Linked DNA regions of Drosophila melanogaster. The protein of the gene in region 2 interacts with the protein of the main gene of each other region in a pairwise test. Each region holds a gene or a part of one and is shown on either strand. Other genes may lie near its edges. The genes, in order: danr and GstS1.

Region 1 (4,604 bases), on a different chromosome or scaffold from region 2:
GGGAAAACAGGAAGAGGACTCATTAACGCACAGCCCAGATGCCAGGACCCAAACTCCTCTGCTGACTGCTGACCTCCATCTATGGCACCTATAATGATGCTTCCCTTTCATCATATAGAATATGGAATGTGCTTCGGCACATACATGTATTCATTTGCATGCCAAGTTTAATATTTATCCCTACAAAATAAATGGCAAAAAACCAATGAAGGCGCTTTTTGGTAAAAGAGTTTTACTTCTAATGGAAATTCAAAGTAGGATTCATTAGCATTTTCAAGTTTTTATTTGTTTGCAACTTAAAGATTCAATCGATTTGTGTTTAATTTGCATAATGAATTTAAAATTAGTTTAATGAAATATATTTTTAAAATATGGGTAAAAAGTTGACTATTTGTTTTTCTTGCAAATGCCTGTAAGTTTTATTTAACTTGCGAACGTTTTAAATAAAAACCACATGAATTAATTTAGTTTTGTTATAATTAAATACTTTAATTCTATAGAAAATTCCTGTTTTTCGATAAGCCTTTTGGCGGGTAAGACTTTCATTTTCTTCATAGGTAGAAAATTGACCCATTTTTCTAACCGCTGTAATTGAAAACCCATCAAGTAAAAAAATGTTTTGATCTTGAGAGATTGACACTTGAATTTTATTTTGTTTTGTTAATAAATATTTATTCGTTTCATTAGTAATTAGTTTATATGCTTATTTGAGAGTTACGCAGATTACACAGTAATAAAACAAATCGATTGGAATGGCTGACAAAATGTGCCAACTAATTAAGCTACTTAACACAATTAGTATTTGTTATAATACGTGTAGATGAATTGAATTTGGCTTTCAAACAAGTAGTCACACAGTTGATATTCCTAGTTAATACTAGCTATAGTATGCTGAGCTATTAATACCTGTTGCAGTGATATTAATACGTTAATTGATAAGTACAAATGGCATTTGCATTGCGAAATGATTCGAGTTTCATTAATACTAAAGGTGGCTAATAACAATAAAAATGGATGTATTTACACTATGAACTACAACTACAACTATGCTATAATGTAGGGTGTCTACTGTTCGGCGTCGCTGGACCCGACGCTCTTGTCGGGAGTGTGGGATCTGCTGGACGCCTTGGAGGCGCAGGAGCGCACGGACAGATCCTCCGGCTCGCTGTCGCAGTAGCTTTCGTTGGAGGCCTCACTGTGCGCCAGTGGACTCAGTCGCTTTAGTAGCGCCTCGTTGAAAGGATATGTTTCGAGATCCGGCTCCGATCCGCCGCTGGCCATTTGGTTGGGATTGTAGCTGGGTCCACCTGGTCCTCCGCCGCCGGGCTGCATGGAGGCTGCGGCCGCAGCGAAGGCCAGGAAGTTCAAACTGGCATTGAAGAGCTTGCACCAGTCGAGCAGAGCCGCTCCCTGGTTATCGGTTCCAGTGGGCGGGGCGTTTGCCGGAGTCACTGGTGCTATCACAGGCGCTAGATCCGCAGGATTCGGGAAGGGTGCTGGCAGTAGGGGCATTGTGGTGTCCGAGAACATGGGAGTCTTCGCCTGCTCCGTGACAAGAGCTTGTGGTGCGGAACTGTTGGCCTCCAGGGCATTGTTGTTCTTATCGTTCACTTGCTCCGGCTGATTGGCGGAGTTCACCCGCTTGGCCGGATCCTTGGCCCAGTTCTTAACACTCAGCAAGGGGTAATTGTTTTTGCTGTAATCCTCGGAAGCAGCGGGCGAATCAATCACTTTGTTGTCCTCTGATTTCGGCTGTGCATCTACCAGGACATCGGCAGTCTGTGGGGTGAGTTTGGAGTTGAGCAGGGCCAGAAGATTCAGCTGGTGCAGCATGTTGTTGGAGTAGTCCATCACGCCGGCCTGACCCGGATGCAGTGCACCCTCCGGATGCAATCCACCGTTCTTTTTTACAAATTCCACAAGGCTAAGCTTCTCCAGCAGGGATTCATTTTGCACTGGGTAATCGGCTGGACTGTAGGGCAGTGCACCGAAGCCCAGCTCCTCGTAGTTTGGAGGCAGTGCCACGAACTTCGGTGGCAGCTGGAGCTGCAGCTCGAACTTGGCGCGCTTTTCCGGTGGCGTGTCGAGACCCAGGTGATCGGGGCCCAGCTGGCGGCACATGAAGCGCAGCTTCTGCTCGTTCTTGCACCAGCCACGCAGCGTGGACTCCGGCACTCCGATGTCCCGCGACACACTCGCCTTGGTTTCACCATTGTGGATGCGCTGGATGGCACGCACCTTGTCGTTGGGCGTGAGGTTCCTCAGAGGACGCTTGCCGCGCGTGCTCATCCGGATGTTCATGTGCTGGTAGGCGGAGATATCCATGGTTCTATTTCTGGTTGCGCTGGCGATAGCGATTGCGATTACGATAGCGGTTTCGAAGCGCGGACTTTGCGGATGCGACCACCGGTGTGCACTCCTCGAACTCGCAGAAGGATGTGATTGTGAATCCGATTCCGCGAAAGGCGAGCTGCGAACTGCGAACGGCGACAGGCGAACGGCGACCGCCGAGATGATCCGATGATTTTGCGGCGAAGAGAACGGCATGACGTTTTTCTCGCTTTTTCTCGACCAATCGGAGCAAAGCGCCACTCTCACCTTTCTCTCTCTCTCTCTCTCGCGCGCGCACCCACCACCCACCAGTGCAACAACTTGTTACTCATGTCCTGCTCACGAAATTCGCTCTGTTCGGCTCTCTTAACGGGTTTGATGTCCTGACCATCATTCGCGTCCCTCTTCGCGGGCTGCGTATGTGTGTGGTGGTGTTGTGGATCTAGATATTCAGCATGCAGGATGCACATTTCCAAATCGGCTCCTCCACGTGGCTGCGTGTGTGTGTGTGTATGTGCCCGTGTGTTTATATAAAAACCAGTTATTTACCTCCCATAAACATTCCCTCCTGCGAAAGTGTGTGTGCGTGTATTTGGCCAACCTTCTCGCATTCGCATGTGCGTGAGCGGATCTGATACGGACGTGGACCTGGTTGCACTTTTGGGTTGCGAATCTACCGAGAATAACACAATTCCACTCTATATTATTTGCACTCTCCATCTGTGTGTTTGCACTAATTTCCATGAGTACTCTTTGTCCGTTATTTGTGGTAAATATTTTCATTGCACCCTTATCTTATGAAGATAATAGAAAATATATAGACTAAAAGGTGATCAGGCTAAACTTATTAACACAAGTTTTGAATTCACTGCGTTTTTTTAAATATTTTTATTTATATGTATAAGTGCTCACGAAGTACAATAATATAAAAGAATAGCACATACCTTATATGGAGAACTTGCATAGTTCTTTGCTGATGATTATTCGCACACAAAATTGTTTTAACCTTCATAAAACGATGTAATTCATATAAATATATTATTTATGGATCACTTCTAATTTTTTGATTGCGACTGTATACTAAAAACGTACGTAATGTACATAACACCTTTGTTGGAACACCTTTCTAATTGTAATTCTTTGATTCTACCCCTAATCCAAAGAACTATGTATATGCTGTCAAACACTGTTATTGTTATTAAAATGGATTATAATGTCTCAATGAATCTCGTCGTTTAATTATTGTTTAAACTATTAATGCGTCTGCGCCGTCCACTAAAGAAAAAATAACAAAAGCTTTCAATCTCGAGAAAACTATCAGCATTCTAGAAGAAGAACTGCTTTAAAAGCTTTCAGCCTGGTAAATATACCAAATCATATTATAAATTGCGAAAATTGGCTAAGTACACTTTAAAATAATCATTTTAGAAATGCTAATCCGTTCAATATTCTCCTTAAATAATATCACACATCCCTTTTTTAATACTTTTTTATTGTGTTATTAAAAGACACAGTTTAGAAAGTAAGTAGCCTTTAGTATTTATGTTTGATTTACACATATTTAAATAAATTTTCTATTAACTATAATTTATTAGATTACATCTACTTGTATTGATTAATTTCCGTTTTGCTGTATGTTATAACTATATCATTATTTATTATTAAACAATTTTCATTCAAGTTTATTTGTCACAAAACTGTATTTTAAAATGAATGGATTGTTTTAAATTAAATATGAAACCTACACAATAAATAAACGATTGCAAGCGTACTCAAATCGTAATTATCGATTAAAATTAACAATTTGTTGACATACCGCATTGAGATACTCTTTCTGATACATAAAGTCAAAATAAGTGCACATTTAATGGAAAAATCAAATTGCATTAGATTTATAAGTATTTGCAGTATAAGTATGAGGAAACGGTATTTATTTTAAGTCTCAATTTATACATACATACAAATTTAAATATATACATAACCTATGTTGGCAGTTAGCCCTTACATTTTGTACATACACTTTATTGTTATTATATACATAATTTGTTTCAGTCGAAGGCTTATTAAACTAATTCTGAACGCATACGTCAAATGCACATACCCATATAAGTATATATCTTAATATATACTGCATGCCTTATCTTAACTTTAAACTAAAAAGAGATAACTATTCGGGGGCATCAATGGGAATAAATGCAATCAATTTAATAATAAATAAATAATATTAACTCTTTGGCGGCAAATAAAATATCTGATGGGTGCGTGGATATAAT
Region 2 (7,943 bases):
GCTGCAATCGCAAGTGCAGTTCCACTCCCAGGGTTTTGCCTTAAACTACAAAAAGTACCCGTGTTATCTAAAATGATTCACTGTATGCTTTTTGGCATTATTTTGGTAGTTGTATAGGTACCGATAACGGATTAATTTGCTTATAACTTCGAGGTATCTTAGGGGGATTTTTCAATCGTTATTAATAGACCGCAAACTGGTTATAGCCGCCTAATTGGGCATTTAGCATCGTCACATGCAAGTTTCATTGTGTTTGACTTTGGCTACCTTTTAACCCGAGTGCAACAAAGGGTATATTGCTTTCGTGCTAGTCTTAAACAGCAATCTACACTTGGAGGTCTATCTAGTATTTTTTCAGTTGGGGGATCAACTCTACTTTTTTTCGTAATAACAATCGGGAAGTATTCGGTCGATCAATTTCTGATTCACTCTGTTATCTTCACCCACTCCACTGCTTATCGTCATTTATAATATTTGAATGGGTTTTAAAGCCACTTCTAACATTTATAAAGTATGGCAATCATAAACGGGTACATTTTCACACAACTACATCAAACTACTTTAACCAAAATCGAAGCTATGGGCGAATAATAGCTAAACAAATAGATACGTGGAAACCTTGAATTGGATAATACGATTTTCGCCCATCAGCAGAGTCAGCTAACAAAATAGAGTTTATGTATTTAGTCAGCCGATTACAAAGATAAAGGCACACAGAATAGTGGCTTTAATGGCTTAAAGTGGCGAAAACCACTCATTACCGACACGAGTCAGTACGAGTTTGAAGCAAAACAGCTTTGGAGCCAGCACTGATTCGGGCGAAAAGTGACAATTTTTTTGTGTATTTACTCAATTAAAATTGGAGTTTGATTTTCAGGTTTTGCACAGTTCATAATTTGTGGGCACGTGTTAATGAGACAGTTTTTGTAAGCGCATGCAGACGTTTCGTGTTCGCTTTGAATTTAGATTTCTTCACTAGCTGCCATTCGAGTTCACTTGCCAATTTCGGCACTTACATTGTTCGCTATTTATCGGTCTTTTGCCGCGCTTTAAGGTCACGGCTCACGCTGCGTATACGCAATGTGGACTTCAAGCGATCGCCCAATTGGAAAACATTCACCAACTCGCGCAACGTTCGCTCACCTGCGCATTTGAATTCGCACTGAAGGTGGAATTCGCAGTGCAGCAAGTGCGAGAATTATCGCCTCTCCCGATCTCACTGTTTCTCTCTCTTTCCATATAGCACCCGTCTATAACTTTTACCGCTGCCGCTCCCGCCGTCTGGTTTTAACTGTTCGCCCGCCGAGTGTTAGTTATAATTTTTTTATGCGCTCGCTTTTTTATTATTTAGATTGCTCTCGCGGGCTCGTCGGTTCCGTTCTGTGTCGCATTTTCCACAGCAAATTATTGTCATAATTCCGCCGCTCATTCTTCGTGCTGCTTACTATTCTTTTTTTTTTACTTATTCCTGGAGTGCAATTGCAGGCGGCATAAATTCTTAATTAGTGCAGGCCACACAGCAAATAATTTTATTTAATTGCAGCCATAGTCATGACCATAAAATAGTAAACTACTTTCAATCCATAAACGTTAAAATCATACATCTATGCACTTTATTGGAAAATATTTTATAGCACGTTGTTAGAACATAAAATTTTATAGCAAGCTTCAAAATGCATAATTGCAGAAAAAATCCATTAGGTTTAAACGTAAAATTTCTGCCTGTGCATAAAACTTAGTGGTCTTCGCCAAGAAAGAAACGAAAAAGAATGCGGAGAAAATTGGCGCACAACCAGGCAGTCTGGAAAACCTACTTCAAAAACAATAACGAATCGAAAATTTCCCTCACTAGCGAGCAGTGCGTCAAAAAAAACTTCGGACTTTTTTTTAAGTCTCAGTTAGAGTTATTCATGGTGAGTCCGCTGCGATTTGTCATATATTCTCCACCTGTTTCACTCGATTATGCACTCGTCAGCGTGTTCGAAATGTCTGTCTTATCGTGAACGATTGTCATATCTTATCAATCGAGGTCTGCTCACAATCGAAACCGCCAACGCAAAACGAAGAGCTGAATACGCGCCATCGCATTAAAGGCCACAAATCGGTCATTTTCTATGGATTTTCGCGTAATTCTACGAGAATTCTGGGCTCGATTTTGTGGGGGATTTTTGCTGTTTTCTTACTTGTGCACCGATTCGCTTATCTTTGCACATTTTCGAACGTACGCCGCCCAGCCAACACAAAAACACACAAATAGTGCCCGAATCGCATGGAATGCTTCTTTTCCAGCTGTGGGAGTCCCATGGCTGCGAAAAGCTGGTGAATTCGATTGCGTTTTATGGTAGTTATTTGGGTAGAAGCAAAGATTGTGTGGGTACAAGATGAAAATTGTAGGAGTCCCATCAATTCACAGTGAATAACACTTAATCAAGTTTTTTAATCAATTAATTCAATTTTATACTATTTTATGTCAAGTGCTAAGCAAACGGCAGTCATTTTCAGCTAATGATAAGATATGAGCTAAGACCTATTTAACTAAGTGTAACTGACCTTCTAACTTAATTTATGGCAATTAATAAATTTCATTAAATTTTGATACAAGTAAACCCAATTAACAAATCATATTTTCGCGCCAATATTCAAAATTTAAACTTACCACACTTTTCTAAGTCGAATTCGCCGCAATTCGAGCCACACTTTTCTAAGTCGAATTCGCCGCAATTCGAGCCACTAACAGCTAGCCAAGCACACAACCTAAATTAGTGCGGCTTCTAACCAACCTTTTTATTATCAAGTACCGCAACCATGCAAAGAGTTGCCAGAATGTTAATTTCGAACATTTACGTTACAAGTTGAATTTGTCATTCAAATGTTTAAATTTTTAAATGGAAATTTTGCCTTCAGCAAATATGCCTAAATTAACAGGTTTAATTAAAATAATTTTACTTATTTTACCGATATTTATAAATGCAATTAGAAAAGATATGAAAGAGCCCCCGTTAAGCTATTCAAAAACAAAACAATGTGCAACATGTTTTAAATGCTTAAATAATTTTAATTTGATATAATTCACAAGCGTTATACATTTTTTCCCTTAGACAACCCTATGAAGTGAACCTGATGCTTCCCACATAAGTAAACATCTTGGATGCACTCGAATTTCGTCGCCAGGCACCGCCAGTCTGGATCGAACTAAGCAAAGTCCAGAGCACCGCGATTGAGTATTGGGCGTTTCAAATTTCCTGGCTAATTTCTCACAATCAGTTAATGCTAACAAAAGTACTTATGCGGCGGATAGTTCCTAAGAATGTGGGAGTATGACTTTAAGATACGATAAACTTACTTAATGCAAATAGGAGTAAGATTGAAAGTTAATAATTAGTTTTAGGTACCCATAAGATGTTTTTTTCTTCGGCTCTCAAAATCTGCTTTATTTAGTTTTCGTTCTTTAAACTATGTATCTTTTAAGTGGGCAGTAAACAAGCTTCATCCACTAAAAGCCCAAACAAATATTTACTGCCTTTTTTTGCTACTATAATTGGTTTATTACTGAGCTGAGAACCTCTCCCAAAGAGATCTATTTAAATGCCGACTGAGAGATTTTAAGAACAGAGAGAGAGTTCCATTTTGTTTATGAAAAGCTAATTGCCAAATTGGGAAGCCAAAGCCTGCTGGAATATTGCATTCCATTTAAGAAAAGAGGGTAGGAAGAAGAAGAACTGGAAACGTGGCTAAATATGTTAACTAATTCATTAACTTCGTTTCCTTTTCAACGCCCACTGGAACTAGAATCAGAGAGAGAGAGAGAGAGAGAGAGAGAGAGAGAGAGAGAGAGCCAAACTTAAAATTAAAACACTACCTTTTTCCAGTTAACCGGCCGGCTTACACACACAGTCAAACGCCTGAAGCTTGAAAGAGAGTGTTTGCTTGATGAGAGCGGCAAGCGTATAAAAGCAGCGTCGCCGGCAGAAGAAAGTCAGTTGCAGTGCAGTCGTCGTGACGATCGGTTCAGTGATAGCTTCCCAGTGGCTGGAGAGAGTGAGAGTAGAGAGTAACGGAAAGAGAGTGCGAATCGAACCGAACGCTATTCCTTCGCCCACGATTTAAGTGAACGCTTATTAGCGAATTGAAGACCCGAGAGCCCCAGTGCCCAGCTGATTTCGTATTCTTTGTTGAGGTAAGCCAAGGAATCCCTGGAACCACCTCATTTCGTAGCACCTTAGTGATGTAATTACGCACCAAGATTTACCCTTGCCAAAAAGTGGAAAACGCTTTTGCGAACTTCGATGCCGAATGGTGTTCGTCTCGAATCGGTTCTAAAATTACACACAATGGTTTTTTGGCTTCGATTGATTTGATTTGATTTTTGGGTCAATCGATTCGAAATCGAAAAGTTTTGAACTCGTTTCGCAGAATCGCAGTTCGCGCGGATCTCTCGCCTCGCTCGCAAGCAAATATGTGAAGGACAACGACGTTAACCGATCAACTAGAAGCCCTCTTCTTCTGCCTCTTCAGAACCGATCAGATCGGAATAGAAATATAGAAACGACCATAGCACCTCCGTCGACTGTGGAGTGCGTGAACGTATTTCGAAGCGTGAGGTACTCGAACCGGAACCAACTTGAGTGTAGTGCATATTCGGGATCTTATCCAAACGCAGGCTTACATAACCCCTATTTTAATACCTTTTCAAAAAGGAATAATTGAAATTCAAAACAAAATTATTTAGCAACAAACAAACAATCAGTTATATTTTTGAACTGATATGCCTCGGGGCTAGGGGTCCCAGACTTTCAAATTCTAGTGATAACCCCCCCGATCGGCGAGTTCATCTGGAAATGTTGCCCATATGGGCCGGGTGCACGTGAATCTCTTCAGTGCCCATTGACGCACTTTGTGTGCCTCCACTGGGTCCTTGACCCGCTGTGATCCCTGCCCTTTCCCATGGATTGGATAATCTAGGTGTCATTATCTTCCCTAACCTTTTCCCACGATTAAAGTGAAACCATTTGCCACGATTTTAGTGCCGTAGTGCCAGATCAAAGAGCCAAAATAGATCAGAGAATCGAAATTTAATTAAATCATGACACCGAAACACCGAGACAGACCAAATTAAATTCAATTGAAGCTGTCATGGCAACAAGTGCCAGCAAAAAAAAGGAAGAGCACTACGGCGAAACCAGAAGATAACACCGAAAAGTCAAATCGATTGTTGCAATTTGAGACTCTCCGAAAGCGAAAATTGCAGCGGAAGAGGCGGCCAATCGGCCATTACTAAACGGTGATGGGGTTGGGGAGGGGATCCGAAGTCTTGGTGACTGACTGGGCGCCCTGCCAAAATGATGGCAAAGGCAGAGACACCATGATTCCTCAGCCAAATCGAACGAAAACGGGTTTACGCTCTACATGGACCCCATTGCACACTGAATCCGTTTATCCAGCGAGGCAAAAAGTGCCGACGACAATGGAAACAGGGGCGTAGTATCCGTACCTCCTCCGTCCTACGATTCTTCCAGCAGCGCCAACGCCCCAAAAGATATTGATTCCGACTTTTGCGCGATTCAGCGAAAAACATAAGGGGACCAAAAGTGGGCAGACGGGCGGAGGAGTGGTGTCTGTTTCTTTGATATGCGTGGGTGTGTTGTCTGTGCGGCAATCGATGCACTTCCGGTGGGTTCTATGGGGAAATACTCTTGCGTTTCAGTATATATCTACTATATATATTGCAATTTTATGGTAATTATATTTTCTGTCAACTTTTGCCTTGACTCCGCTTGATTTATTGCATTGTTCTTGAAGAATAGCCTCATAAGGCATGCAAGCAAACATGGCTTTCGAACTAGCGCAAAATTAGCTAGTAGCTTATAGAGTATATGTAGCTTACCCCCAACGGTTTTTATATCATTTGTTTAAACCACTTAAGAATATTCGTAGCCTTGTGGACACACTTTATCGTGGATCGTGGAAGTTATACGACACCGTAATATATCCTTATCACTCACGCATATTCTGGCCCACTTCAGCTAGAAACGTTTGGCGCGTTCGCCTTATCATAAAAATCAGGCTATCGACTGATTAACTGAGTTTAATAAGCCAGCAAACGTAAACAAAAACTACGAAAGTTCTGGAAAACTAACCAAGGCTATTTCAAAACGGCGTGAAATGGCTAGCACTCTAAATTATTGAAGTTTTCAACATATGTATATCTAATCTGATAGCCAAGAAAACATAATGGTTACCAACTTTCCATATACACCGTAATTTATTATTGATGAATATCAAATTATCGATAGTACTTCCCCGATAAGATTCTGTTAACACACATTGCTCTACTTTTCTATCAGGGAATTGCATTGAGAAAGCGCAGAGATGGCCGATGAAGCACAAGCACCACCAGCTGAGGGAGCACCACCAGCCGAGGGAGAGGCGCCACCACCCGCCGAGGGAGCCGAGGGTGCCGTCGAGGGCGGAGAGGCCGCTCCACCAGCAGAGCCCGCCGAGCCCATCAAGCACAGCTACACGCTCTTCTACTTCAACGTGAAGGCGTTGGCCGAGCCCCTGCGCTACCTGTTCGCCTACGGCAACCAGGAGTACGAGGATGTGCGCGTCACCCGCGACGAGTGGCCAGCCCTGAAGCCCAGTGAGTGCCATAGTCCATCATTGAGTGGTCAGTGGACTAACCATAATCTACTCTGTCTCATCCAATAGCCATGCCCATGGGACAGATGCCCGTGCTGGAGGTGGACGGCAAGCGTGTGCACCAGAGCATTTCGATGGCTCGATTCCTGGCCAAGACTGTCGGCCTGTGCGGCGCTACTCCGTGGGAGGATCTGCAGATCGACATTGTCGTTGACACCATCAATGACTTCCGTCTAAGTAGCGAACAATGTGTGCCTCAGTTTCATGTTCAGTGTCCTTGATTAACTCTGGAATTTTTAATGTATAGAAATTGCAGTCGTCTCGTACGAGCCGGAGGACGAGATTAAAGAGAAGAAGTTGGTCACCCTGAATGCGGAGGTCATTCCATTCTACCTGGAGAAGCTCGAGCAGACCGTCAAGGACAACGATGGTCACCTGGCTCTGGGCAAGGTGCGTGCTCAAATGAGAACTTGAAACCATACACTCGTTAATTTTGAATGAACAATACTAAGAACCATCGATTCCTTTCACCCACAGCTGACCTGGGCCGACGTCTACTTCGCAGGCATCACCGACTACATGAACTACATGGTCAAGCGCGATCTGTTGGAACCCTACCCAGCTCTGCGCGGAGTCGTGGATGCCGTCAACGCTTTGGAACCGATCAAGGCCTGGATCGAGAAGCGCCCCGTCACCGAGGTCTAAGTTCACCGAACAGGACTTGGGAGGATGGGAAAGCATTGCACAACCACTCAGACACAACCGCACCGCAGAAATGCACACCACCCACATCTGCACACATTTTGTTCCTTTTTGCGGAGGATCCGAGAGGACGGCGGATTTTCGCACGGGGTCATAAACGCGTAGGAGTTTAGCACGTATCACTATGGATAAATCGTATTTGTTCTTAATTTCTTGGTTATAATTCTCTTTGCATGGCGCTATATACATATTTCTATTGGGGTCCGGCAGCGGATCGCCGTTCGTTAGCTTCTTCTGAAATGATGAAAGATAATACTTATTGCACAGTTTATAATATTTTGGCTTACTTTTAGAACATACATTTAGCGCACCTATGCAGACATTTGCTGTACCTATATATATATATATATGCATAAAATACAAAAGCTACGAGTGGTTCATCTTATAGGCGTATTCTATTGCAATTTATTCAATGCGGAGGGCTCAATAAATATTTAAAACAACACCAGCTAAGGCTGAGAAACAATTACAAATTCTTATTTTGTTTTTTATACAACACGCCATCGCGGCCCCAGGAATTTTCTTCGTCTCATCCAGTTCCC

Evidence for each region.
Region 1: the proteins of GstS1 (region 2) and danr interact in a two-hybrid assay, tested with the Drosophila melanogaster proteins (one large-scale study listed by BioGRID).

The regions. Positions count from the first base shown.
Region 1 is NT_033777.3:25,135,954-25,140,557, reverse strand, and holds danr (distal antenna-related), read right to left. Parts: upstream 2,487-4,604; 5' UTR 2,326-2,486; coding exon 1,066-2,325; 3' UTR 655-1,065; downstream 1-654. UniProt on the Drosophila melanogaster protein: Probable transcription factor with a role in the retinal determination (RD) network. Regulates ato expression and is required for normal R8 induction and differentiation.
Region 2 is NT_033778.4:17,093,462-17,101,404, reverse strand, and holds the start of GstS1 (glutathione S transferase S1), read left to right. Parts: upstream 1-1,903; 5' UTR 1,904-1,913; intron 1,914-3,098; exon of another isoform or gene 3,099-3,279; intron 3,280-3,869; exon of another isoform or gene 3,870-4,177; intron 4,178-4,427; exon of another isoform or gene 4,428-4,601; intron 4,602-6,344; 5' UTR 6,345-6,369; coding exon 6,370-6,640; intron 6,641-6,708; coding exon 6,709-6,888; intron 6,889-6,946; coding exon of another isoform or gene 6,947-6,955; coding exon 6,956-7,089; intron 7,090-7,176; coding exon 7,177-7,344; 3' UTR 7,345-7,943. UniProt on the Drosophila melanogaster protein: Conjugation of reduced glutathione to a wide number of exogenous and endogenous hydrophobic electrophiles. May be involved in the detoxification of metabolites produced during cellular division and morphogenesis.